Lepisosteus oculatus: one gene and its partners. The protein of the gene in region 3 purifies or fractionates together with the protein of the main gene of each other region. This does not show direct contact. Links are inferred from orthologs where the notes say so. Each region holds a gene or a part of one and is shown on either strand. Other genes may lie near its edges. The genes, in order: gtpbp4, kpna3, mecp2 and ybx1.

What was found.
Region 1: the proteins of mecp2 (region 3) and gtpbp4 purify together in Homo sapiens (affinity purification with mass spectrometry; 3 studies listed by BioGRID and IntAct, counting the BioPlex papers as one, with this or other methods). This does not show direct contact. The link is inferred for Lepisosteus oculatus from reciprocal best matches to the Homo sapiens genes MECP2 and GTPBP4.
Region 2: the proteins of mecp2 (region 3) and kpna3 purify together in Homo sapiens (affinity purification with mass spectrometry; 3 studies listed by BioGRID and IntAct, counting the BioPlex papers as one, with this or other methods). This does not show direct contact. The link is inferred for Lepisosteus oculatus from reciprocal best matches to the Homo sapiens genes MECP2 and KPNA3.
Region 4: the proteins of mecp2 (region 3) and ybx1 purify together in Homo sapiens (affinity purification with western blotting; 3 studies listed by BioGRID, with this or other methods). This does not show direct contact. The link is inferred for Lepisosteus oculatus from reciprocal best matches to the Homo sapiens genes MECP2 and YBX1.

The regions. Positions count from the first base shown.
Region 1 is NC_090701.1:13,527,677-13,535,077, reverse strand, and holds the start of gtpbp4 (GTP-binding protein 4), read right to left. Parts: upstream 3,013-7,401; 5' UTR 2,951-3,012; coding exon 2,903-2,950; intron 2,376-2,902; coding exon 2,205-2,375; intron 1,944-2,204; coding exon 1,840-1,943; intron 1,260-1,839; coding exon 1,123-1,259; intron 558-1,122; coding exon 457-557; intron 1-456. UniProt on the Homo sapiens protein: Involved in the biogenesis of the 60S ribosomal subunit. Acts as a TP53 repressor, preventing TP53 stabilization and cell cycle arrest.
Region 2 is NC_090710.1:26,351,052-26,358,327, reverse strand, and holds the start of kpna3 (importin subunit alpha-4), read left to right. Parts: upstream 1-4,272; 5' UTR 4,273-4,361; coding exon 4,362-4,673; intron 4,674-7,276. Other genes in the region: spryd7a (SPRY domain-containing protein 7), read left to right, coding at 1,274-1,371. UniProt on the Homo sapiens protein: Functions in nuclear protein import as an adapter protein for nuclear receptor KPNB1. Binds specifically and directly to substrates containing either a simple or bipartite NLS motif.
Region 3 is NC_090697.1:75,512,623-75,519,846, reverse strand, and holds the start of mecp2 (methyl-CpG-binding protein 2), read left to right. Parts: upstream 1-4,213; 5' UTR 4,214-4,235; coding exon 4,236-4,297; intron 4,298-5,688; coding exon of another isoform or gene 5,689-5,720; intron 5,721-7,224. UniProt on the Homo sapiens protein: Chromosomal protein that binds to methylated DNA. It can bind specifically to a single methyl-CpG pair. It is not influenced by sequences flanking the methyl-CpGs.
Region 4 is NC_090720.1:9,798,823-9,806,002, forward strand, and holds the start of ybx1 (Y-box-binding protein 1), read right to left. Parts: upstream 3,012-7,180; 5' UTR 2,888-3,011; coding exon 2,782-2,887; intron 240-2,781; coding exon 176-239; intron 1-175. UniProt on the Homo sapiens protein: DNA- and RNA-binding protein involved in various processes, such as translational repression, RNA stabilization, mRNA splicing, DNA repair and transcription regulation.

The DNA of each region.
Region 1 (7,401 bases), on a different chromosome or scaffold from region 3:
TTGGCTGACATTTTTTTTTACTTTTTAATACTTATGGCACGCAGGCAAAATATATTGAGTTACATGTCTGTAGACAAACTCTACTTAAGACATTTACCAAACATTTTACTAAGTGTTTAGCTGGGATTTCAGAATATACAGAGATGTAGGGTCTCTGATGTAACTGAAGTGAAGTGAATGTTCCACACAAGCTACTATGACACAGTTCTCAATCACACTTGGAAAACTGTGTTTTGAGAATTCTGTGATGTTAGTAATATAGTGAAATATAATGGTTCAAAGATGTGCAGCACATTGTATACTAAAAACTCTTAAAATATTAAAAGAAAATAGATGTCTGAAGCTTTAAGAATTGAAGCAATAGAACAAGACCATGCATTTCAATTAATTTACTAATTAAGGCAGACGTGGCACTCATGTCTCTAAATGAAAGAAGCAAATGTCTACAATATTCACCTTGTTAATGAAGCTCGACTTCCCAACATTTGGATATCCACAGAGTAAAAGAGTCCTGGTGTTCGGATCAATGGTTGGTAAACGGGAAAGATGCTGACGCACTGAAAGACAAATTACGTTCAGAAACACGCATGAGCACAATATAATTATAAATCTAATTGTGGTGTTCAGGAAAAAAGGATTGCTTGAACCAATTTAAAAGCCCTGAAGATGTAAAACTAATGAATCGTTAAATACAATATGCTCTATTATTTCTAGCAATATTAATATTTCACTTTTAGCACACGACAGCACAACTATGTTTCATACAAAGGCGCCAACAATACTCCCCAGTAGATTTTAGACAGAGCTTTTCTGTCATTAGGTGATTTTGTTATAAACAGTCACAGCTGCTGATGCCTCATCATGCTGCACACAACTTTGCATTTTGATAATACATTTCTTTGTACACAACCTTCGAAACCAGTGTACCTGAGAAGCATTAGATCTGTAACTGAAAACGCAGAAATAATTTTAAAGGTTCATAGAAAGTAAAGTGTGGAAATACCAAAAATAAAAGGCCAGGCCATTTCTTTGGGCAAGTGGAATCAAAACTGGCACATAATGACTCTGTCACTCAATTCTAACTGTGCTGGATAATTTGATGGATAATCTGAAAAGCTTTACCTTGCTCCAAGTATTCCAAGCTTTGTTTCTGTCGCTTCAAGATAGTACACATTCGTCCAAGAGCAGCCCGTTTAAGCTGCTTGCAGCGATAAAGAGAATCCCCATACTTCATAAGACGGACATAGTCTTTGGCAACACTAAGACAAACAACAGAAACTGATATAATTGTTTTCTCGATACATATATGTGAGTTTTTATACATTTCTAAATATCAGTTTATCTTTTAATGTATAAAAATGTATGCTGAATAAAGGTCCCCAAATAAGGAAGACAACATATCATAAAAAAACAAACATTAGAGTCTTAATATCAAAATTCACCTATTGTCCTGATGCACAGATGTTAATAAAAAGAGAAACTGATGTTGGAAGCAAGACAGAAATAAAAGCCAGAAAGATAAACTCATGCTGCAACACTATGTCTTAAAATAATAACTTTTCGGAATGAATGTAATTCTCAAAGAGGAAAATATGCTGTTTAATATTATACAAAAACGAACATCCAGGTTAGCATGTTAGACACACACCTGCAGGATTGTGAAGAAACTAAGATAGAAAATAAGATTTTCTTCATTTTAAATCTATTAATATTTTATGTTTTTCCACAGAAAGTGGAATCATACAGAGGACCCAAGATCTGAACTAAATATCCCACTGCCACAAAAAGTACTATCAACAGCCTTAAGAAGATTCCTAATCAAAGTACATGGTTTCTTACTTGTCAATGAGATTCTTAGCTATGTTAATCTGTCCCAAAGCCAGCTTGTAATGATCTTTGTCGTACAAAACATTCATCAAGTCGGCATAAAAAGGATGGATATCCTAAAGCCAAGAAAGACAACAGTTAAAAGCATTTCAATGCAATTGCAGTCAAGATAATGTGTTATATCATTATGTTAGATTATATGCATAAACGTACTTAAATTTCTCCTTATGTAATCCTTCAATTTAAGGCAAAAAGCAGTTTAAAACTTTAAATCAAGTGAAAACAAAATAAGTCGTACATTCATGTTAGACATGTTTAGCACTTAAAAAAACATAACTAACACCATTAGTTATTGAATGTATAGAAATAAGACTTACATCCAGTTTGGGAAAATCAGTCAGGATCTGGGAGAGTCTGTCATGGTAGTTCTGCTGGGTGAATTTCACTTTTCTCATGTAAAAATGACGAATACGATGGATCTGATAGTGCTTATGGATAACTGTAGGAGTCTTCCTTTGTGTTTTTGACAATGTGATATCTATGAAGTCCTAAGGAAAAGATTTAGTGATTAGCGTTACTCTGCTTGCTCCGATTTTACCCCCCAAAAAAGAGAAAAATGGTCAGACATTGGTCCAGTACAAGGCAAATATCACCCATACATTAGACACCGTGCAACAAAAAAAACACACAAGAATAAGCATTTAATCGTAAAATCAAAATGTTCACAAGGCGATACTCGTCCGCGAACCCCACATTTACGCTTGTCAATCTCAACAATAACTTTATCATCGCCATGTACATAAAAATAACTTGTCAAACCAAGAAAGGTGGTTAAACATAACATTCTGAAGCAGTTATTCGGTATCGATTAATTCGGTATCGATATCGGCTCCTCATCTTGCGCTGTTTAAATACTTTCAGGAGACACGTGTCCTTGCTCACAGGCTGAGACCACTGAGCCCGATCGTGTTAAACAGATTGATTTCTCTTTTTCAGACCGCCTGCTAACCTACAGCACTACCGCTAGACTTATCCAAATCAGAATGATGCTGTATGAAACAGGTCCGTTAACTACCTTTGCGGTGGGAACCACCATAATCTTCTTAAAGTTGTAGAGAGCCATCTTTCCACACCGCGAAGCACACTTCTCCTCCAGAGGATGCCGCGTGAGGCTACCCGGAAGACTCGCCCAGTGATGTCAACAACTCTGCCTGAGCAAGAGGGTGTCCTTCAACGAAAATGCAGGCAACTGTTTCTCCACACTGCCATCTCTAGTCGAGATTTATATTTGCAGCATTAGCAGTCTGTGGGTTTTATCAACAAAATAAAATATCTTTTTCTTAAGGTATTTTTTTAATCTTCAGAGTATGCTCATGAAAATATCAAAAGTAAGGCTGAATACTGTCTATGTGACGGTCCATCTTGACATCTTTGACTGCAAGGCATCCTGACAGACTGTTCAAAAAATAAAATTATTCTTTCAAAGGGATGTGTCTCGTTGGTGAAGGGATTGTTTTACAGATATTTTTATAAACAGCCACAATTAAACTGATGACGTTAAAAGAGACAACAGCATTTCAGCATTTGAATTTAGCTTTTCAGGTTTTCTAAACGTTTACATAGCAAATGTGTCAGTGAGAGATGATTTCACACATTTCTGGAGAACTTTCTTTTGCAGTGTTAAATTCTGTTCTTAAAGATCAATTTCATTTTTGAAAATCAATAAGGCTATTTTTTTCTCTATTAGCTATGTTTCAGTATTGTCTGAGGTACATACTATTTATTTTGACTGGACATGTAGATGTACTAACCAGGAAAGGATGCAATGCAGACTTGCTGACAATGATGCCTGAGAATCTTGTTAAAGGTCTAGGGAGAGGGTATAAAATAGAATCACGGCCCACACAGTAAGAGATCATGGAGGGTAACAAGACCAATTTTATTTGGGAGAGTTTAGACAACAGGAAGCTCCAGGATTCAAGAGCAAGGGAGACATAATGTTCCCATGGCAAACTTCAACATGCCAGCAGCCCCACTGCATGGCAGTTCTGGAAGGGAAGTGAGAAATTACTTCACTTAATTAAGGGAGAGCAGCAGACCAGATTGTGCAGGGCAAAAGTGGAATTGAGCAGACAGGGACTGGCAAATGAGAACGTTGGACATTGAAGAATGCCAGATTGACTCACCTAGCGTTGACACAAATGACCTTCAACCTAACATACTGTAACGCTCAGGGGTTCACATGGACACCCTCGCCGCTGCCGCATCAGGTCGGCCCCCAACCGTCAGGGACTCAAACCCAGGCCTCCGGCATCACTCAATGGGGACCCAGCCTCTTGAGCCAAAGGGAAATCTCCCATCAGCCCGGCGGCTGTGGTCCCTGCTATTCACAGGGAAGGGCAGTGACGTCACTGCAATGGTAAGCCAGCTCTCACAGTCAATGGAGGCTGTATGCGTTACAATACTGTTATGCCTGGTTCTTGGTTAAGTTCCCAGACTTTACCATGCCTGTAAAGTATATGAGACTCTGATTTGATGACTTGGCAACTGATGTAGAATAGAACGGTTGGCCAGTTTGGGCCAGTTTAAGCATATCCAGTGGAAGTGTGATGTTGTGAGGCGTTGTGGGTCACTCCATGACCCTGTTTGTCAGAAACACTGGATTGTTTTGGACAGAATCTCAGCACTCACTGAACAGCCTACCACAGAGCTGTCCAATCTAGGTCATGGGGGTGGGGCAGTGTGTGCTAACTAAAACAATTTGTTCAGTGCTTTCTGCTGCTGTAGATGTGCTTGGGTCTCTCACAATCCATCTTTCTCTCCGTCCTGTTCTGAGTGTCATCTCCGTGAGCTGGATGAACTACAGCTGTGACTCAGGTGCAGAACAGAATATTAAGGGTAAAACTGACCAGACATTTTCACTTTGTCTGAAGATCAGTCAGTAAAGGTGGCCAAATAAAGCCAGCTGCCACCAGGTCATCTTTGGCCTCCAGGGGTTCGACAGTGACTTTGCGGCTTTGCAGGTGAAATCCCTAAACTTCAGCCCAGGCCAGGACTACCCTGAAAAGATTAGTAAATAATTTTGTACTTGCATTTACATTGAGCTTTTATGGAAGATTCCATACCGCTTTACACATAGGAAGGGACCGACTTCATCAGTCACTGAGTTAAGATTACTGTTGAACGGTCATGCCCTTACATTCCACAAAGTGTGAAGATCTGACTTGCCCATTTAAAGGTTGAGCAAACAACTGCGTGTGTGTTACAATTTCTGTAGAAATACATAATATTAAAGGGAAAACAATTTATGAAACAAATCCGCCGTGCTGCGTTTATTGCAAAGAAAAGAACCCTGCCACATTAAAAATGAGCATCCTTGACATAAAGATAGTACACATGTAATAAAATGAATAAATCATAAACAACATCTGTCGCATACATATGTGGGAATTTGGCTGTATGTACCAGTCCAGGGTCTGGTGCAGATGGTCCTGCAAAAGTGAGTATTTTACAATACAATCAGAGAAATTCTGACAATTACAAAATTTTAACACACATTGGAATACCCACACAGTATTTGAATGTTGAGTCAGCTCTCCATCCTCTTTTAAGTGTAAAAAGGTTCATTTATTTTAGCTTGTCAGTGTGGAACATTCCTTTAAGTTCAGTTCCCAGTATGCAAAATTGGCACAGGCCTATTCAAAAAGACTTACATCTCTAACTGCTGCCAAAGGTGCAAGCATTTCTTAAAGATCTAGATTTGGATTTATACTCCCACTTTTTGCTGACATTTTACTTTCATCCCTAAAATTGTGTTTGAGCACAGAAGAATTGATTAAAAAAAGTTCTCTTTTAAAAAATGTATGTACATCATTTATTAATTCAACAAACCTCTGCTTCCTTCACACATTAAATCTTCAATCCATTATACTGCATTGAACTATAATTAAGAGTGTCTTAGTGTTCAGTTTAGGCATCAATCCCTTTCAGTTTATGAAAGTCCTTATCAATTTGACTTCTCTTAAAGTATTTTAAAATTATGAGGCCACATATATTATTATTATTATTATTATTATTATTATTATTATTATTATTATTATTATTATTATTGTTGTTGTTGTGGTTGTTGATGTTGTTTTCAAAACAAAAATACACACCACTATCTCAGGGTTGAGAGTAAGTGCGTCAGAAGACACACCCTAGGTTCAGACAGACCACTGTCTGAAAATCCAGGCTTCACATTAATACATCTGTAGGAGGGAACAGAGACAGGCTGTCTGACTGACATTTGCTCTACAACCTCATCTAAAAAACAGTGCAAAATTATTGCCTTGGTATCTCCCTCCCCCATCTTCAGTGGCCTGACTCAAAACTGATCAGATGATCTAGCTTTTCAGTGTTTACCATCCTAAATGCCTACATGGGAAGCAAAACCCATTTAACCTATTGCAGCCTTGTTTTGACTCACTGTACATGTAAGTGGATTTTATACTTTCACGTGCAGCAAAATGTGTTGCCAAGATTTTGCTTCAGAGTAGCCTGAAGCAGAAGTCTGGATTTCTCCCCAAACCTAAAACACCCCGGGAAATTCTGAAGCCCGTGAGCTGAAGGAGACTCTCTCTCTCACTCTTCAGTCACAGCCCTGGAACACACGCACTGTGGCCAAGTGCTCACAGAACTGGTCTAATTAGGGCGCCACACTCTTTTGTTTCACACAGACAGCCAGCGTTTCACACAGGACAGAACCTCTAAAAACAAACCCGCTAAAACAATTGAATCCAATCCTGCTCACATGGAACCTAAACTGTTCAGTCTAGTTTTTACCAAAATATAATTCCAGCACCAACAGAAATATTACTCACTACGGTAACAATATTCAGACTAGTTCCTCCCCCACATGTACACACACCAGATAGTTAGGGATGATAAACACCTCCCACTGACAACTGAGAATCTTGGCACATTATCTAGCTGCCAATCTAATGGGACCTCAATCCCTTCCAGTCCAGTATTTGACTAAAATAATGTACCACAAGGTCTTTATGTAGTGATGTTCAAACACAGACTCTGCTACACAACATCAGACAGACTGGAAATGGACACTAAGGTAGCTCATGAGCTCAGGTTTGTGCATTAGGTTAGACCTGATGTAGACAGTACTTAAACCTCTGGCAAGGAAGTCATGTGGACAATAATTGAAGAATAATATGGCAGGGTTCTGTGCTTAGTATAAATTATGCATGCTGTGCTCATTTTTTAATTTAGAACGTCATGATTGCAGACAGGAAAGGCCAGAAATATGAGAAGGTTACACTATAATCAATTACATTTACCCACGAAACGGAGGGAGAATATAACCTTAACAGTCTCAACAGCTTACAGCTTGGAGTCTGTGCCTACCGTATGTGTCATAAGGACTTATCAACATGGCACAAGAAAAAGACAAAGTATGCAAGACCACATGTTTCAGAGGTAACTTGTTTCAGGTTTGCAATCTCAGGAGAAAGGTTGCTACCAGGAAGGAGTTTTTGAGTCTATTTGATCTCATCTCTCATTTTGGTCTCTAAGGAGACC
Region 2 (7,276 bases), on a different chromosome or scaffold from region 3:
TCCTTGGACTGTTTGATGCCCTGTCCCCTTGGATTAGTGGTTAAGATTTGGTCAAACCCAAGCTTAGGCATTTCCCCTTCACGAACAAGTCCATCGGGCTCCAGGCAAATTCGTTTGTGACTTTTGTGAGTTGTGACTACCACAGAACACAAGGTAATGTTTTAAACAGTGTAAGGTATTTCTGCTTTTGGTGTGTTCTTTGTTTACCTGCATTGACTGTTGATTACACTAGAGACCTGACAGTATCAAACCCACCCTTGACAAACAGGTACTCACTCATTACATTACAGAAAGGAGCTGTGCATAATCAATTGAGCTTTGCATTAACTGGGGAGATATAGGCCAACACAAGTTGTCTGCTGAAATAATTAGCTTGGAAATAATGTGTACGCACTATAGTAAAGAAATCTTTGGCTAATGGAGAACTTCAGAACTGTAGTTTATGAACTAAGTTCATACTGCCATTTGTTATGGATTATTTTATCCTTGCTTGGCTTCTGGGAAAATTGGCCTTAGATGTGAGTGTGTCTGTCTTTGTATCTGTTTGCCCTCCTATGGCCTGGTTAACGTCCTGTCCAGGGTGGATGCCGCCTTGCTCCCTGTAACTTGCTGGAGCAGACTCCGACTCCGACCCAGAATTTTAAGAAGCAGTTAGGAAATGGAGGGATGATGGTAGGTGGGCCCAGCCAGGACACTAGGGAAACACTCCTACTCTCACACAGGAATGGCAGAGTAATCAGGACCTGAGTGTAACATCTCCTCCTAAGGCCGGCGCCTGATACACCACAGTGCCCTGGCTTCCAAGCATTGGATTCACAATGGGGAAGAGTGCCCCCTACTGGCCTGCAGCCATGCTATTTTCCTTAAAAGTCTCCCATCCCAGTACTGACTAGACTCAGCGCATTCTGAGATAATGGCTGTAGGGGGGGGAACATTGTCATTTGTAAGAGTTGTTACTTTCGGTGTTTGTTCGTCACTTCAGCATGTTTAGAACTGTAATCACAATTTAAGCTAGTATCACTGTAAGATGAAGCGTGGTCTCCAATTAACAGTGCTTCTGTAACTGTAATATTATTTCTGACAGGTCCTGGGTCTAATGGGAAGGTGCAGTTTCCTTGCCATTTGCTGCACCCAGTTCTTCTCTATGATTAAGTTTTAGCCAGTGGCTTCTGGGTGTTGTCTTTAGCGGAGCTGCTTAAGTTTCAGCCTGGATGACAGAAGAGAGTCACCTTAGTCCTCTGTCTTCATGACCTTTTCTCCTGTGTGTTTCCAGTGGATGACAGTGCCATACTGGATTGCCAGTTCAGCGACTTCTACCACACGCCACCCCAAGGGTTTGAGAAGATCCTGTTCGAGCAGCAGATCTTCTAAAAAAAAAAAAAACACTGCCTCTCGTGAACGCACCTGCACTCTTCCAAAGCTCTCTGTCTGTGTGTTTCTCTGAAGCTCTGTGACTTGTATCATTGTCCGGTTTGTATGGAGTTCTCCTGTGAAAGCTTTATGTTCCAGCCTTGTTCTTCCCAGTGCGCAGTCTGGAGATCAACTGGAAGACCCTAGGTGTTAAAGTACTCCAACGTCTCAGTGTGGACCAGGCTTTGTTGCTATATTTAAAAGAAAGAAAACTGCACTGATAGTGTCGGCCCTGCTCTTCAAGTCCCGTGTAAAAAGCAGTGCAGATTTCTAGTAGTAGCAGTGAAAAACACTAGGTTTATATTGTCAGCAGTCTTGACTGAGCCCCTTTGATGTAGGAATGAAACTTTCTCTCTTGCACCATGTTGGGAATAATTTCTGCACATTGGTTACTGAATTCAGGTGTATAAGATGGTATCGTGTCACTAGTAACTGTTGAAGCCATAGTTATGAAGCCTGTGATACAGTACTGTCTATTGGTGTTGAAATTATTTTGCTTTTTGTTGTAATCTACATTCTACATGTCCACATTGCCTCACTTCTTGAGGTGTTTAACTTGAATTTGACATCATTAATGAAACATTTCTAGTTCCACATATTGGGAGATGGTTCACAAATGCAGTATACTGATAATGAGTTGTCGTTTCACCGATTAGCTCACTGCATAAAGCCGTCTGATGAATATAAAATGTATGTTGTAAAACGCTATAGAACTTTTCACTGTTGATTTTCCTTTCACATAAACCCCCCAATATCTCTTTTTTTCTCCCCCTCTCAAACCTTGTTTTGTGACGGAAAAAATAAAATCCAAAATGAATCCTGGACGCCGACAACTTCGCTAAAATAGGTCTCATTAGTTTTGGCTGCCGAAATTCAGGGAGGTCTTTTTCAATAATGAGCACATTTTAAACCGTTCTTTTTCCCCCATTATGGAGACAATTTTTTCCTTTTTCGTTGCTGACATCCGTTTTAAATGTTTCAAAACAATGTTTTGTTTGCACTAATGAAACTTGATGTGTTGAGTATTAAAAATCCAAATGGGTTTTGTTGTAAGTCTACACTAAAATAAAAAATTTGCACCTGGACTAAGGAGTTTCTCAGTTTTGAAGATCATTGGTGTTTGGTTTTAGATCTCACTTCAGTATGCAAGTATTTCGCTGGTTGCCAATATAAATAGCAAGTTGGTTTACTGGCCTTTAAATATGAAAGCTCTCGGGTTTCTGAGCATATTTCTCAAGATCTACAGGGTTTGCTTAGGTTTTATCCTCTCTGGTATGCATGAAGATTATCACAATATTCCAGGTGGCCCTGCCCACAAGCTGCAATTAAATGAAGATTAAAGACATCTCAACTCTTGTTTTCTAATGCATTTTATATTTCCTACATTAAATATGCACAGATGACCAAGATTTTTTTTTCTTGCACTAGCTAACTGAAGTTACTTGCAGAGGGAAGGTGATGAAAGGAGCGGGAGGGGAAATAGAATCGATAGTTTTTTGCCTCCCTGTAACTCTCCATTATCTGGTAGAGTGTACATCCCAGCCTCTAGGGAGCGCACATCGCGTATCTTTTGTCACCCATCCCTCGTGAGGGAGGGGCGGGCTGGGCGCGACCTTGGGCTCCACTTCATCGGGGACGCGCCTCAGTTGCGCGTGTTCTGGGCACGTGTTGCCGTAAGAAAACATTTGCTCAAGCAATCTCTTGTATCCCGGTTTCAAATAATATAGTCAGGCCGGTTTAGGTGTGAGCAGTTATTTTTAAAAAAAAACAAGTCTCGTTTCAACATTAGCATAATGTGCACGGGAATTGTAGGCGAACAAGAAGACGCGTTTGATAGTAGGATCCGGTATCCTAGTGCAGGAATAATTTTAATACAGGCATATCCTGGAATGACAATCGCACATTTCGCTTCTTTTATACAAATCAAGAACTAGTATATACCTTTCAGTATAGTTATATAGTGTGTAGGCTGAAATGTTTACATCACACCTTTAAATTCTCCATGTGCTCAGACAGTATGAGAACCCTGAAAATCATACGTATTGTGAACCGAAAGAAGTTCGTCCGTTGCGTGTTCTAGTTGAAATTGCATTTTTAAATGATTTTAGATTGACAAAGCTATTCGTTTGATTTTTTTTTTTGGAAAATGGGTGTTGATTTGAAAACATTACATATCTTCTCCAGAAAATAATCCTTTAAGCGAATATCTCAATTTTGATAGGTACAGTATGCTCGTCCAAAATACTAGGGTGTATTTCTTGTGCTATCTTTTACTCTGCTGAAGCACATTTTCCCACCTCAAGACACTAAAAATAATCTGGGAACAGTATTTTTAGGTTTGTAACATCTGCTTTTTCTGTATGAAATGTAGGCGCATTTAAAACGTTTCCGTCTGTTGAGGAATTCTGAACTTGAATTCAGTTTAATATTTAACAAAAGACGTCCATAATTTGACATATTTGCTTAAATCTAGCTCTATAAATTGTGAAATTTAACGCCCCATGTTGTGTACTTAGTTGCTTTACTATTCCGTATTGTGCTGTCTGAATTAATATGCATGTTTCCATGGATTCAACGCACCAGATGTGATGCTTTAAAGACACAATTAATCTTTGATATATACGGTGCAATTGAACTCCGTTAAAGACGACACAGCTCGACTGTTAACTTCCTGTAGAGGGAACACCAACATGTATGTAAAGAATCTATGCACCACAACGGTATTCTTGTGTATTTATCGGAACTGTCCATGTTTCTAACTTACGTAAGGCATGCGCACTCTTTATAACGTGAAATACACTGACGCAAGTCTACAAGTAGGCTGGAATAACGACCTCAAAACCCCGTTTGCTGGGGGAGAAAACTCGGGAGCGATCTAGCCAACAGCCGATGTAATCCGCCGGCTAGAGACGCGGGCTAGCTGAAGGCCCTCGCTGTGTTTATATTTGTCGATGCGCACATCCATTGTGCAATCGCACCCCAACCAACAGCTCGCTCGCAGCGCCGGGGCCTCTCTCCGGCTTTCTCCAGCTGCCGAGCGTGGCTCCTCCTTCCCGGCCCTCCTGCCCCGCCGCCTTCCGTTACGTCTGGCCGCCCCCCTCTCCGCTGCACAGCGGACTGTCTCACCCCCTCTCTCTCTCTCTCACTGGAGCTCCGAGCGCCGGACCGCACTCGCACCGAGCACACACAGAGCCATGGCAGAAAACGCCGGCTTGGAGAACCACCGCATCAAGAGCTTTAAAAACAAGGGACGCGATGTCGAGGTAAGGGGGGAGCCCAGGGGATGGCGGCATGGTGGTGGTGGTGGCGGCGGCGCCGCGGCGGGCCCGGCCGGGCCGGTCCGGTCCGGGCTGAACCGGGGTGGGGGCGCGGGCGGTGAGCGGCTGTGCCCTCCGGGCCTTGCGACCGGCTGTGGGTTTTTTTTTTTTTGCTGGATGCTGCTGCTGCTGCTGCTGTTGCTGTTGGGGGTAAGAGGAGCGTTTATTCCGGAACAACCCCCACCGCCGCCGCCGCCACCACCACCATCATCATGCAGTGCGGGCGCGGCCTAAAGGAAAGGCCTTCTCTGTGCCATTAAACCGCGTTTTAATCGTTCCTCCACCGTCTTATGCTTTTCCCTAGTGAAAAAAATAATAATAAAGCGATTAACCTGTGCTTTTCTTCTTTTGGTTTTATTCGGGGCCTTTTTAATTGCTGTGGGGGGAAAAAAAATCTAGTTAGCATCACACTCAGTTGAGCCTCTTTTTTTTTTTCTTTTTGCTCTGCTCTTGGTAATGGTGTTCCTGACAAAACGGTCTACGAAAAATGGGGTTCTGTCCTAGCCTTTTCCCTCCCCTCTCAAATCTTCCCTGATTTGGAGAAAAAAAAAAGCAAAGAGGGGGGGAAAAACGAGACTAGAAAGGAGAGCGTAGCCAAGAGCCGGACTGGCCAAACGGCGCACTTTTCCGCATTTGAAAGGGGCGGCTGTAGCACGCCTTTCCCTGCCCAGATGTAGAAAACCGAGCAGGCCGTAAGCCCTTGACTCGGCTGCAGGGACAGAGACGGCGCCTGACCCAGCCGGCTCCTCAGGCGGCCGGTCGCCGGCGACATGCAGAGTGAATGTGATGGATTGTCATTGTTGAGATCACGATGGGCCCTGTAACATTTGAAACGCAACCTGTGTGCAGCCCGTGAGGGATTGTGCTACTGCGGTAAAAGCCGGCCCCGAAGTCATGGGGTTTTGTAGCTCTGTTGCTGTGTTGTATGCAGGATTGCTTCCGTCCGTGGTTTGATTAGGTTAGGGCACACAACTAGTTTTTAAGGGCCTGGCATGCATATGACGGTAAATGAATACATCAGTCGCTGTAACTCAGGTGCGTTTTCACTTTTTTTTTTTACCTGCGCTGTTTTGGGAGGAGATCTAAGCAATATGTGCGGCACAGTGGGAGAAGATGTAAGGACACAGTTCGTTAGAAAGAGGCATAGCGGTTGGTGCTGATAATTAAGGGACTGGGAGATATGATTGCAGACGTCTCACTGGCGTGCTGAATGAAATTTAAAATTCAAAAAATCGTCTAAGGTGCTAGTGCGGGTGCCTGTTGTTTCAAAGTGCGTTTTGCGTTTAGCTGTTCTGCCTTGAAGTTCGTACATTGAAGCTTTTGCGGTTTCGTTTTACTTTATTGGTGTTACAAATCGGCAAGCAGAGAAGGAACAAACGGGGATTATTCATTCACTGCGCTAACGATTCTTAGCCTGGTTTGATAAGTGTTGCAATACTTGGAAAATGAGGTAAATCCACTTAAGATCTCCAAGGTTTTGCTAATGCTGAGCGTTTTTCGTGGGAGACTAGCGCGATTGCTTTATAATGGCATTGTTTGCACAACTATTTCGCGTGGACACCTCTGATCTCCTGAGATATGTAGGCTCTGTGTCCTGTTCATCACAGCATACACACAAGAACAGCCCTCTTGGGAAACATACAACCTCATCTCAATTTTAGGACATGCCCCTAATTTTAGGTTGGACTGCTGTTTCTTTAGACCAAGATGATTACAGGCTGACCCACATCTGTCGTTTAAAGGGTTGTTGGATGACCATGGCACTGTGCAGTCTTTTCTGACCAGCTCTTGTTTGTCATTTGTTGCCACATCAGGCTCTGAACTTGCCTATTGTAGCAACTGTAGTTACCTGTGTAGTTGTTCAGTCTGAAGCTGTGACAGCTTGACTTTAACATGCCGTCTATGTGTATCTTTTCAATGGTTGTAGAATCTCATCTTTATTTAGAATTGTTTTTTTTGACTGAGCAGTCTTTCTCTTATGGATTTCAGGGACCACCTATGCATTCATGACTTTATGCAGCTGTTTTTTTTTTAAATTGAGCTCATTTTGCCTCATTTGAATCCTTTGGATTGTTTGCGCTCTGGCGCAGTCATGTGTTTCAGGTTAATTTAATAACGGTAGAGCTACCTGAATGCCTCATCTGATGGAAATGGAAGACCTGCTAATCGGGCAAGGTGTTTGGTCAGTTCGGGTACGAAGAAGGTGACTATGGCTGGAGCCGCAGTAGAAACGAAAAGACAAGGTGTATCTAAAACTAGGAGCTGAGAAACCAGGTCCCACAGCTCTGTTTTGCTACAGGAACACTTCCATCACATGGCCGGTGTGAATGTGCAGTTTGTGGAGATGTCATTTCTAATACACTGTACCAGTCCTGATAAAGAGTCCTAGGATTGCGTGCAGTGCATTTATTAACACTTTCTAACTGGAACGCACAGTGGGCTGTTTTTGAGTTCATGCTTTGTTTGTCTCATGATATGATATTTCATGGTATATGGAAACAATATAGCCTTTAATAATGCATTAAGTTCTTTTCAAATAACTCAAAGTG
Region 3 (7,224 bases):
GGAACAGTTGGGGAATTTGTAACGAATACGCGTTGCCTTCATTTGCAGTCACAGGAAACCATGAGCTATTTCAGTATTAATGGGAGCTCACATGGTGGTCGTCTAGAATGATTAAAGTTTCAGCGTTTTCATTTTGAATCTAAAGTAAATCGTTAGAGTAAATGCGTCACACGGTACAGGCAAGGAAATCAGACCCCCATTGCTCAGTAACCAGATCCACCTCAGGCCCCTGCAGTATCAGGAACTTGTGCTCATCCCACACCACGCTTCCCCACTTGCTTTGAGCACATTACAAAAACCGAAGGACCGGACCACGTGCGCATGCTTTTCAAACTACAAACAGGAGGCACTTCTTTACACGAAGAGTGGTGGAGGTCTGGTGCAAGCTACCCAGCCATGATGCGGAAGCCACAATTTTCTTTTTCTAGCAGGGAACAGCGGGGTGAGATGCTGGGATCGGTTAGCTACTAAACTACTGAGCTGGCTTGACGAGCCCAGTGTTTCCTCTCGTTTGTAAAAAAAAAACTATTTTCTGCTCTGCTACAGAACCAGGACCTTTTATTCGCCCAGTACAAGATAGACAAGGAATTTCTCTGGGCGCAGGCGTCGACATCAGTTCCAATAAGATAAAAGAGTAACAAAAAAGCAATCCACAGGTAAAGACAGATTTCAGTGATGTAGACAATTTAAAAGTCTATGCAGTTGATTAATACAGTGTACAGTGAATGCTGTGTATATTTACAGAAAGTATCAGTAGCGTGTGTCGTTAAATGAAAGAGTCATGGCCGGGGGGAGACACCATGCAGCTGTCGGTTAGTCCTGGTTTTTAGGGGTCCCCAGTGGTCTCTGCGGAGAGGGAACACGCTGGAAGAGAGAGGGGCCGGGGTGTGAGGGGTCGTCCTGGACAAGTACACAGCTCCTCGGCAGCTCGCCGTGATCGTCTAGTGCTCAGCACTCTGTGTTGTGGCCTCAACGACCCCGGGTCGAATCCGGGCCACGGCAGGTGTGAACCTGGCACAGCAGAGGAGTTCTCTTCGGGGCCGAGCGGCGGCTCTGTGGCTGAGGATCTGTGGCTGGAAGGTTGCCGGTTCAAATCCCGCGGCTGGCACAGGAATCCTACTCCATTGGGCCCCTGAGCCAGGCCCTTCACCCCAACTGCTCCAGGGGTGCCGTATAAATGGCTGACCCTGCGCTCTGACCCCCAGCTTCTCTCCCTTGTCTGTGTGTCTCATGGAGAGCAAGCTGGGGTCTGTGAAAAGACAAATTCCTAATGCAAGAAATTGCATACGACCAATAAAGTGATCTTATCTTATCTTAACTGCTGTGCAACAGGACTCTGAGCTCTCTCCCTGTCGCAAGAACACGAGGATCACCGGAGAGGTGGAGAGTGACAGGAGAAACAGCCAAGCAGGAACTCTGACCCCTCTAGAGAAGACAGTCCACCTCCAACTGGCTACAGAGGGCCCAACCACACAGCCTGTCTCCCTCGCGGAGCCCAGCTTTGGTCCTGCAGAGCCACAGTCCGACTGGCTGCCCTTCAATCAGCAGCTTGGCAGAGGACCGGTGTGTGTCACCATCACCCTACCAAGCGTAGAGGGTCAGTTAGTTCAGGAATGGGCAGATTCCTTGGTCCAGACAAAGTGGAGTATTTTTAAAGGACACCCAGAAAACCGGCTGGACTGTGGCTCTCTGTCCCGGCCACAGAACAGGCAGATGAATTCAGGAGAGGAAACAGGTTTCAGCACTTCTCACATCTGAACTGTTGGCAGTTCTAAGGGCGTTAGCGTCAGAGCAGGCACTTTTATTCAAAATGACTCATTAACAACCATTCTTGTCTAGGCACAGTTACGGCAGTTACAGTTAAACTGCTACAGGAATATAAAAAAACAACACAAACGAAACATCACAGACGACATCGCTCAGGGTTGCAGAAACTGCTGCTTTAAGGGTGACCATGCTGGACACTTGCTGGACAGGCCCAGGGCTGGCTGTGCTTGCTCTCGTTGGGACAGCCGTTCTGCTGTGATTGGACCCGACTGGACCCGCGCTCAGCGTTGAAGCGTGAGACAGACCTCCCAGAAGCTGCAGAAGGAAACGAGGCCTCCGGCGCCGGAAAAGGGAGGGACCGTTGTGCACGAGGACAGGGTCTGGAATTTCACATCCCAAGACGGCAGGTGAGGCCCGGATCAGTCCGCTCTCAGGTTCAGCTGCCCGTGTGAACAGAACAAAGCCCACTGCGTCTTTCAGAGATCTGAGCGATGTCGCATCAGTGTGTCTGCAGTGGTGTCCAGTCCTGGTCCAGGAGGGTCGGTCAGTGTGTCTGCAGTGATGTCCAGTCCTGGTCCTGCAGGGTCGGTCAGTGTGTCTGTAGGTGTTCCAGGTCTCCTTAAAGCAGCAGCACCAGCAGACTGACCAGCCCTCCGGGGGAAGGGGAGGACCGGTCTGGTCTGGTCTGGTCCAGTCCGGTCCGACTGAATCAAACGTCGCCCCTCCTGCCTGCAGTGTAACAGCATGTCTCATCGCTCTCCTGCCTTGAATTCCTTAATTCCCAGTCCACCTGCGTCTCCTGCAGGAGAGCCTCAGTCTTGGAGCGGCTCGGTTTAGGGGTCTCTGGGGTCTGCCACAGGTCCCCAAAATTCCCCTCCCCCCCGCTCTCTGCCTCTGGACCATTAAGGGGGAACCATCCATACTGTGGAAAAACGAGTGATTAGACTCGACCCCCCAAAACACAGAAGGCAGAAAAGCACCAGTGTGTGCTAGCCCCATGGGAACAGCATAAAATACCGAGAGCCCTCCCTTGAAATACCCAAAGTATATCATGAGGAACCCTGTCTAACTTTAGAGTGACACTTTAGGATAACCTTGACCAATCATGGCCTCCTTATAACCCCCCTCTCTGGACTGGCTTCATCACTCTGCTCTCCTCCCCACTGAGAGCTGGTGTGTGGGGGGAGGACTGGAGCATCATCCAGGTGGGGCTGCACACTGGTGGGGGTGGAGGGGATCCCCATTACCTGTACAGCGCTTTGAGTGGAGTGTCCAGAAAAGCGCTATAGAAGTGTAAGGAATTGTTATTAATCATTATGGATTTCACGGCGCCGGTGGCATACAGTACCCTGCTCGGACACCTCAGGTGCATTTTCATTCGATTTTATTGGAATGAACCAGCGAGCAGCGGTGTTTGGGCTCAGAAGGATTCTCTGCATTCGTCTGCATCACAGTCGACGCAGATTTGCGGTGTTTTCTGTACGCTGACACTGAAGGCACAAGCGGCTGTAGTCCCCTCGGAAAACGACCCACGACTGATCTACAGGCTCCTGCCCCACACCTCGGGGCAGTTTCCCGGAGAGCCTGTGTCTCGCTGTCGAGCCGCTTTCGCAGGGAGACGTGGAAGCCAGCAGGTGCTTTTCCCCTTCCATCAAACACTATCTGGGAAAATAATGCGCTAAACTACTCTTTTATTTATTTTAAAGTGTTTTTGACCCATACCGTCGTACAAGTCAACAAGAAAGTAACCTGTTTTATTTTATTTATTTTACTATAGCTACTTTACTTGCGTTCAAATCTACGTATTCTATTGCACAAGACGAGCTTCATCGCCAGCACAGCGGCCAGACTACCGCTGGACCGTGGTGGAAGACGTGCACAGGCGCGGAACAACTACACCTGCGCGCCGCAAGAGTTTCAGGAAACACCCAGCCTGCAAGAGAGCACAGACCCAAAGTGAAACTGCTGCGGCTGACCCGTTTTCAGAGCTGCGACAGTTCATGCTGCTGCGTTAGAAACAGTTTTCGCGGAAACGCGGCAGGATTTCTTCTTTTTGCGTCGTCTCGTCGGGACGCCCCTCTTTGGCTGCTGAAGGGCAGGGCAGCGCTGTCCCGTCCCCCCCCACCCTGAATTAAAAATGCCAGTTGAGCTAACGAACGATGTAATTAAATAAAAACCTGGTCTTTTCCTCGCCACCTCTGACCCTCATTCATTCCGAAAGCCGCGGCGACCGGACACACGAGGCGGCTGAACCCTCTCTCTCGCGCGCGCGCTGCAGGAGCTCGCGGCGACTCCCTCGCGTCCTCCGCGTGCGGGCCGCCTGGGATGGGCGTTCACTTCTGGTTTTTTTTTTTTTAAACGCTAACGGCCACTCCGCCGACCTGCCGCCGGTAGTTTCGAGAGAGAAAAAACACACACCTCGTTTTAATTTTCCTTTTAATCGTCCCACGCCCCCCGCCGCCGCGACAATGAGCCTTGCCTCGGGTACCGGTCCAATACGCCTCGTTCACCTCGAGGTGGGAGTGAAAGGGTAAGTTTATCCGTCGTATTTTTTATTTTTTTCCTGGGCGCTTTGGTATACTTTTCGAAAGGAGGAATTGGCCGGAGTTTTCCCACGTTCGTATTTTCAGCGAATAAAAAATCCCCCCCCCAAAAAAAAAAGTTATTTTCGAGGTTTGAAACCTGCCAGGTATCACTGCGGTAGGCGAAACACTCAACTCTTTTAACGCGGAGACTCAACTGTTCACGGGCGAGCTTCAGTTTATCGCTGTAAATTCCTTTAAAATCGGGGGGAAAACCCCCACAAAGACATACAATTCTGAATCTCCGTTTCGCACTTAAAGATGCTCGGTAATCACTTTTGTACAGCAATACGTTTTTTTCCGCTTTCTTAGCTTTGCTAGCTATTCAGTTTCAGTTTGGCTGTAAGCAGTCCGTACCGCCTGGGTCGTTTAGGAGATGAATGCGCTCCGGTGTCGGGATACACATTTTTATTGGCAAAAATGCGTCGCCGTTCACAATAACGTTGTCATTGTTCTGTACATGTTCAGTATAAGTCTAATGAACGGATGTCTTCAAAACCGTTTATCTGCGTTACTCAGAAAGCATTTAACACCATCTCCCTAAGCTGAAACAGTTTCACATGATTTCAAAAAGGGAGTATCCTGTGAATAATTCAACTCCTTTACCTCCTATGTATAAACAGAAGAATGTGAATACATGTTAGGGTTTCCTGTTGAGGATTTCTTTAAAACTTAGTTTGCGCCATTTCTCAAGTTTTACAATTAGCTTTTAGATTCACCGCTGAAATATGGAGCGACATTGTTCACTCTAGGTGTATAAAGTTTTCCCGCGGTTGTAATTTTAAATCGTACAAGGAAACAAAATAATAAACCTGCTACCTTTTCCGATAGACCATGAGTACTCATTCAAAAACTCGGGAATAATGAACCAACGACTGAGCTGAGTAAAAGCCAATCAGTTCGGGTTTTAGTGGACTTTCAAACGAAGAAGCTGCGCTCCAGACACCGCTGATGTTTGGACGGATCCGTTTCTTCGACCAATCGGAGCTGACTGGCATTTTTTTTAACCTATCAGCGCCTAGATAAGGCAATTGAGTGATTTTCTGGCAAGCCAATGACATTCACCGTAGATGAGTGTCGTTTCTCGTAGCCAATCAACGGCAGGACTTGGTCGTTGGGGGCGGGCTACTCCGGGGATCCTTTTCAGCGAGAGATTTTTGACTTCGCAGTTGCCATAGAGTTCTCGCGGGAACTCCGGGCCCCAGCCTGTAGTTTCCTATGGGCTAGATGGTGTAATCTCGCGAGAGCTACACTCACCGATGGGAGGGTGATGTGGGGAGGGGGGGGCTTCCAAAAGATGTGTAGTGAATTTTTTTATTTATTTATTTAAATATAAAAAATGGCCGCCGCAGAGAGCGGAGAGGAGAGACTGTAAGTGTGAATTAAAAATATTTCTCCCTGTGTCTTTTTAGATAAACGAGAAAGCAGTGGAGTCGTACAATGTGCACTATACAATTCTCTGTTTTAAAGAATTGCATATCTTCTTTGCTCACGGAAGGCGGGGTAAATACCCCATTAAAGGGGAGTATTTTCACCCGCTTTTTCATCTCAGTGGGGTGAGAAAATCAGTATTTGCGCGATTAGTACAGGGAAGAGGTGTGTGTGTTTATATGTGGTTATTTTTTATGTGTCTGTGAACTCAGTCCTGCATTGTTACGAATATTATTTTGCTTTATTGGTGTAGATTTCTACTTAATGCATTATTTTCCTAACTGCATCCCCACCCCCTTTGTAAGTAGAATTTAAAACACAGCTTTCTGTCTGTTTGGCTCTGAAAAGAAGTACACGGGAAGGACCGTGTTTTGATTTTCCTTTCCGTGCTGGTAACACTTTGAATAAAGGGTATGGGTGAGCTACTGGGCAGCTTTTCTCTGCGTATCAGAAAGTCCTGTGTGATTCGGCACCCTCACACAATGCGTATAAATAATGAACTTTTTGGATTTGAAAATGACACGCGATTAAATATGAGTCAAGATTGGTATTTTTTAACATGCAGCTGGGTGGTGTTTGTGTCGATGTTGACCGTTTTATAGGCAAGAAAAATGAAAGTGTATTTTGATTCCTGAACGTGTGTTCGTTTATGTGTATGGAGTGTGTTTTTTTCCTCCCTTGAAAAAGACCAGACTGGTGCACACGAGTCGATTATTACGTACAGCACAGATTAGATATATTTTAAACATTTAGACGAATCTATTGTTACAGTTGTCGGCACTGAAAGTTTTGTTTTAACAAGCTGTGTTTCTTAGAATTGGAAAAAGACACCTCTAGCTTCTCAAATACACTGAACAGGCTTGTTGCGTCATTTGTTATGCTAGGGGAAAAAACACTGGAGGTTAACATCTTTCTGCTATTAGCATTTCCGTTTCAAATCCGTGCTGTGTGCGATACAAATCCACGCGTATTTTTGTGTTTTAACCAGAAAAATGAAACGGCAGTTTCTGTCCTTGGAGGGGCTTAGATGGGCTTGGAACGATCCATCTGTCTGAACTGTGCAGTGTGTGATTTAACATTTTGCCACGACCAAAAAAAAAAAACACACAAATGCCCTTGTTTTTAAACTGAGAAATTTCAACTCGAAACGTCTAGGGAATAATTTTATGCGACATATCGAAGTGTGGTTTTGCTGATTATTGCTAAGAAACGCGGATGTGAGAGGTTTTATTGTCAGGATGCGGGATAAATACACCGGTGTACTTAGCATTTCAGCTCGAGTGGCGCCGCACACAGCCGTCTTCAAAGTGCGTCATTGTGTAGAAAGACGGTCATATTTTTGGGAAATGTTTTGTAAGGGGTGGGGGAAAAAGACGTGTTTGTGAAATATTATTTTTTCATTTCATATCTAAGAATTGTTCTTTTTTTAATTCACAGCCCTGCT
Region 4 (7,180 bases), on a different chromosome or scaffold from region 3:
CAATCTAAATTAACAGGCTTATGGTTTGCTAAACCCCAGCAAGTAAACAGGAGCAGGACACTGACTAATAAATCTACAGCTGTACAAGCAAATAACCTGGCTAATAGGATTGAGCACGATATCAGACCCACAGGTCACATCCATGTCCTAAACAAGGCGAGAGAGCTTAAATTACCTGTTGATGAAACCGTAGCCGTTCCTCACGTTAAACCACTTCACTGTTCCCAACACCTTTGTTGCTGGAAAACAAACAAGTCTTACATCTTCATATACCCAGAGAGCAGTCAGGCAATTATTAACTTACAAATTCCAGACACCAGAATTATCAGAAAACAAAGAAAACCACATTATAATGTCTCATAGCAGACTTTCACTCTGATGGGTTCTTTTGTATTTAACGTATTCTACAGTAAAATGTAATTGTAGAGCCTTAATTTCACCATGCACTGATGCTTTACCATCATTCTCTCTCTACACACAGGAGTCTAACTGTAGGCAGTACACCCTTGCTTGTCACGTTCCTGTCATTTACACATCTCTGCAAAACTACAGCTCTATATCACACTTCAGCCCAGAGGCTCTTAGAGTCTCTTTTGACAAAAAACAGGTTAAATATTTAAATTCTCTCCACACCTCTGTAACTTTAAGCATTATTCAAATCATGTGTCACTTAAAAATCTGCTTTAAGTATATACAGTAATAATGAACAGCAGAGGTTTTGTCTAAAAAAAAAATGTAGTCCTTAAAATTGGAACCGATTTGCTTTCCGTATTTAACAACTTATGAACTATATTCTAGTCACTCCTTGGACTTTACTGTAACATCACTCTCATTAAAATCTGACCATGTAAGCACTAGGAGAAAAGGTTTACTAGGAAAAGTGGAAACATAAAATGAGGACCTAACGCTCAGAACCGGGACCTACAGCTATTGTCTGGTTAATTGGCCGAATTCAGAGAAACTCAGAACTAGGAGCATGGAGTGCTGCGACTATTGAGTGGGGTAGGGCTTGTAAAACTATCTGGACACTATATTTAACCACATGGTGACAAGCTTTTTATAGATTATGATGCAAAGCCTAGCTGTCCATTGCAAAACTAACTACTTCAGCAGTATGATGAACTCGTGTCCAAAATACATTCACCAACCCCGCTGATTGGATCAGAACATAATTTCGGGCGAAAGAACTTCTACTGGCTATACAGGGGTATACGACGTGGCCCGGCCATGCTTCAACAGTCTGCTGCTACAAAGAACCAATCGTAACCTCGGCTCTTTCCTGTAACAAGAATGATTCACTGTAACGATATAAGGAAGTGTCAGAATGCTTCACACGTGGTCTCCTGCACTCTCCCCACACGGACGCGAAACTAAATACAGTATCGATAAATCAATCATTCAAGCGGCCGTCCATCGCCAGTCAAACTTCCATTATTCCCAGTACAACGGACGCGCAGGGGATTACGATTGTACTGGTCTCCGCCTGTTACAGCGCGAAACTTCCATATTTCCCAGCCCGACGCGCTACCATGTGGCTGGACGGACGCCCACAATCCGCGCCAAACCGACGGCGATTTCCACGGCAGGGCCGCCGATTAATCGCCCCCCCCCCACCCTAAACTACGGGGAACGGGGATCGGCCGCAGTCCGGTCCTCCTGGTCACGCCGCCCGCCTCCCCAGCACCCACACGCCAGGAAAAAAAAAACATCGCCTCCCTCAGACAAAAGAAATCCCTCTCGTATCCAAACACCGCGGCGGACATTTTGGATTTTTTCCCCCCTCGCCAAGTTTCCACACAGCCGCTAGTATAATCCGAGGAGGGGGGGAACGCGACGCCTCTTTTGTAAGCCGTCAAGCGGCATTTTCGTCGGGAAAGACGGCTTTGCCGATTTATGAAGCGGCTGCACACCCTCGGCCCGTACACGACGCTCAAGTTACTACACCGCACTGTAATGAACAAAGGGTGTGTGTGTGTGTGGAGGAGCAGTGAGGAAGGGGGAGTCTTCACACCGGCCCTCCCGCAGCCCGGCACTCGCGTTACCCGCGGGCCGGGGACTGCAGGCCGGCCCCGGCGGGCTCCGTGCGGAAGGGCCCGCGGGAGAACGCGACCTGACCCACTTACGGGAGGCGGGCGGCCAGTATCGCCCCGGCTGCCCCGGGGAGGTGAAGAGCAAGGCCAAGTTCGCCTGCGTCGCTCCCCCCTTCTCCCCCACACGCACAGACCCTGCAAGGCGGCCGGATCGCCATGTGTCCCCTGGGCCCGGCCCAGTCCAAACCCACACCTAGAAACCCCCACCCCCAGGAGGGGAGGAATTGGGATGCGTGGGCAAGTAGTGTGTGTTTGTGAGTAAGGGGGGGGGGGTGTCTTTCCGATCACTATCCCAAACCCACCAGCGGAATCCACAAACCCACCCCGGCGCTTCCGGCCCGATCCCACCCACCGGCTCCGCTCCGCCGGGCTCCCCGCACGCGCCGGGGCTCGAGAGCGCAGCCCGCTCCCGTCACCACGGCGACGGGACGAGAACCGTTGCTGCCCCGGACCCGCTCGAGGCCGCCCGCTCGTTATTTTTTCCAAATTATTTTTTTTCGCCCCCCCGCCCCCCCCTCAACCATCAACGCTCAACCGACTTTTCTCACACAAAGAAACCCCGGAGCCCGACACACCGCACGCCGGAGAAAAAAAGTCACCTCTCCAACCCTCAACCTCGGCGTCGCGTCCCCAGTTCAAATCACGTAACAACACGGGAAAAGAAAAAAATACGAGAGACCGGGGGGCTCACCGATGACCTTCTTATCCCCCGCGGTAGCTGCGGCTGCCGGGCTGGACGGGCTCTCCGCGGCGGCGGGCTGCTGCGGCTGCTGCTGTGTTTCGGCCTCGTTGCTCATGGTGGTTTCGGTGGGTTACGTTACACTTGTGCCGGCGGTGGCTCTCTAGCGTGTTTTCCCGGTGCGTGATGGTAACCTGGGCCGGCGGTGGTGGGGCTGCTGCCTTCGGGCTCTCAGCGTTCCTTTCTCCGCTCCCGTTGCCGATCGAACTGGACGGAAAGCGAGCCGATACCTGACAATATTGTCAGAGGCGCGACCGCCCATTCTCTGATTCTATTGGTCAGAACCCCTGTCCGTCTTGGGCCGGTGCTCTTTTCCGTCGCTCCTATTGGTGCGCGGCGCCGTCCGTTTCACCAAAACCTCCGCGGCGGTGAATTGGATTGCGACTCCACAGAGCGGCATAAAAACCCGCCTACTCGGTATTCTGCGAGTGCTTGGTTGTGATTGGACAACAACGCGTCAATCTAACCCAGCTGTACGCATTTCTAGCTCTGATTGGAAGACCGAAGTGTCACTCAACTGCATAGTTTTTAGAAGGGGCCGCGCTCAATCCAATCAAACACTCCCCTTTTCTCCGGAGTAGATTGTGAATCAGTGGCGCTGGTTGGGCAGATAATGTCAAGGATGCCGCCCACGATGCTAGGGATTGGCAAAATGTTACAGTTAATATAAATCACGCCCACTTTATCTTTCGTGATAGGAATATTTACGCATTGCCCTGCGCCTGTAACATTGTCAGTGTTTGACAGTACAAGGAACATCGGACCAGACATCTGATCAACATGCACGGAGAGGGTTAAACTGCTCTCGAACTACTGATGCAAACATTAGCGTGAAGTTTACAGATGTAGGTCAGGATTGCCTGTAATCAGTACCCTAGACCTTAAAGCCCTCAAAAACAAGTTCATTCGTTTTATTCGTAGTTTATTCGTTTACATTAGATTAAGAATCTGAAAATCTGTTTAACTGTGTACCGCAGTGTAAATTAATCCTAGTTCTATTCTTTTAAATTTCGCCTTTAAACAAGTAAAAACATTTTCCATACTTCGTTCAATACTGTCTTGGTGCAATGGGCAATTATAACCCCTAAAAGGCAAGACCCTAGATTATAAACTTCTCCCATCCGAATCAGTCTTATTGCGACTCATCCCTGTCTGGAATTAAAATTAAAATTGAATGAGTTGAGTAGATTCATTGATTAGATACTGTATATCAAAAAATGAATCCCGTAGCTGCCTTTAATTCTAAGCATTGATATTATAATTATTTTTGCATACAATACGATATTCTTCATAACTAAAAAAAAAGAACATTATATAAAGTAATGAGAATCCGTTATTGTGAACATTAGCACTTTTAAAAACAGTTACGATTACATATCTCAAGAGTCAGGATCTTGAAGTACATTTTGTTGAATGAAGATAATTTAAACTTGTATATAGGTTTTTTCTTTTTATTTAGGCCCCATTTTTCTTATATATTGATGCATTATAAGGCCTTAAATGTCTCCATTTTTGTTGTTTGTAAAGTGCTTTGAGCTGGTCCTCACCACAAAAAGACTTCCACAAAACCAGAGTGGGTTTTTTTAAATGTCAGAAGGACACCAGGAAAATCCTAAACCCCATATTAAATTGCTTGTCTGTTAGCATAATGCAGTAAACCGATCCAGCAGTTAAGTTAATTACTGTTAATTATATTCTGTGGGATTGTCACAGTTATCTAGGCCTCTACGGTGCCCTGTAGGAGACCTTCAGAAAACCCTCCACTGACGTCTGATTCAATCACAAACCCTGTCACACAAACTCTTCTGACCACAGAAGAATGATATCAGGACACTGTGCTGGGAGCCTTTAAGGACACTGATAAAATTAAGACCAGTGTCCTTATGAGGAATAACTAGGAGCAGGGTCTGTCCCCTCAGAATGTTATCCAGAGATATCAGGATACCATTTCAATTATTAATTTTTCAACTGATTTATCCACTGGGATCTATGAAATAACAGGTAACAGGACATTCTCAGAAATACAGGTTTGGGACAGCAGTATGGAGCAGTGGTTGTTGACTTGTAAACAGAAGGTGGTGATTTTCCATCCCAGACAAGACACTGCTGTTGTACCCTAGAGTAAAGCTCTTCTCCCTGACTGCTGCAGTAACATACTGTACCATGTGCAAATGCCTTCTATCAAAGATCAGGAAAGCCTGGAGCTGTGGACTTATATAAAGCTTTTCTGGACACTCTACTCAAAGTGCTTTACAGGTAATGGGGACCTGTACAAATTCATCAGACACCTCTCCTACAGGAATCCCATCTGCATTTCACCAATCATTCCAAAACCCTAGAACTGCACAAAACCACTAATTGCACTTGCCCATAAACCAGTACTCTACAGAAATCACTGTGAACTAATTTACTTAGTGGTTTGATTGGGTGTAGGATAAAGGAATTCCTCATCTTTCTAAGATCTGCATCGGGGGACTTTAAAACGACTGCAGGAAGGCATCAGTAGATTTTCTTCCTGCAGAACACAGAGGGAGATACTAACAGCGCACTGTTAATGCATGCAGTTTTATAAGCTCTGCTCAAGTACCTGCCCACTATCTTAGAACACATCTTCAGAGTTTGGACATCTTAACTTACTTGTTGCACAGAGAACATCTGTTATACTAGAGAGCTATTCCACACTGCATGACATTCTGTACCACAGAACTGAAAATGCATTGACAAAACCTGACTACTGGTACCAACAGCCCATAACCTGTGAAGAAAGTCAACTTGCGGTCAACATGTGCCTTCCAAGACAGAGTAGCTTCTGTGTATATTCCCAGCGCATCATAGGATGTACACTAGGTTGCTTAATAGACTCATTAGGAGTTGTGACTGGGGAAGGATATTCATCCTGTTCGAGACCGAAGACAATTTATTCTGTTTTTCTAGTATTCACAATCAAGGCTTTCTGGTCACTTCAAGCAACCAAACCATTGAGGAAGAATTTGAGCATTTGCCTTTTTATTAAGTATATAAAATAGTGACTATTTGTATTAGCTCATATGCTTTGTGCTTAGCAACAGTATAAAAGGATAATTCAAGCATATTATTTGACCTTTTGACTTTAATATTACAACCGCAAAGCGTCTAGCTCAGTTTCACACCTTCTGTTTTTGTTTGTAGAGAGAAAAAACATCTCCTAATATGGAAACTTAGAGTGAGCTTTCCTGTGTGAATCTGCTGTATAAAACTTATTGCATTTACCTCCTTCTTTGGAAGAAAGTGTAATTCCATCTGTCCTGCAGAGGAAATCAGGTACTGGGGGGCGTTGATAGGGTTCAGTGAAGCACATCTGTTCACGTTAAGTGCTGGGTTTTTAGAACTCAAAGACGAGCACACCAATTTAAACACTCGTGCACAGTTGTGATCAAAGGTTTGGGCACCCCTGGTCAACTGGCACGTTTCACTGAATCGCCAAGTGAAAAGAAGTGAACGCAGTCTCGGGAGGATTCAAATTTAAACATGATATATTTCTCCACATTTGAATGCACAATTACTTTTTTATTTGCTGAAACGAACAGATTGCAAAAGAAATTAGTGAATGTTGCACGTGCACAAGTTTGGGTCTTAGTCAGGACTTGGTAATCACAGCTTCCAAACATTTGGCACAAAAACCACGTGGCAATGCAAGCTCATAGGCTTCAGGAGCTATTGTCCAAATGTTATTTCTGGGGTCATTACAACCACTACAGGGTGTTAGTGCAACAGTGTTCATGTCTGGGAGTTTGTACCATTCCGCCATCTTTAGAATGTGCAGCAAAAAATCCTCAAAGCCTCCCGAGAACATCGCCACAATGTTCAAGTCTGAAGTGTTTGGATGTCTGATATAATCTGCACCCTCCCGTTGTGTGGTTACCTTGTAAAATACTGCTAAAACCTTTGGCCTAATCTAACCAAGCCACAGCCTTCCAGAGGAGGCTGTTATGATGTTTCGGGGTGGCTTGGCTGTGCTGGTGCATGATCGTTATTGGCTTGTAATGGAATGCTTGGCAATAAGTGCATTAAAGCCATCAGGATCGGATGCTGGGGAATGCAATGTGAGAAGCAAGCCGCAGGCCGTCCCTATCAAACAACACTCTCATTACGCCCTATTCACATTTGCTCCAAGACTCCACTGCTCACCAGCACATATAAAACCAATTAGAATTGGCAACAGAGCCTCAGCTAGAATTGTTAGATTTTATAACCACTTTATACAATACAATATATGTGGACTTCCACATTTCCCATTGGCCTTTACCTTTCATGGCCTCCTAATAATCCCCATCTCTGAACTCCTCCCCACTGATAGCAGGTGTGTGGGGAG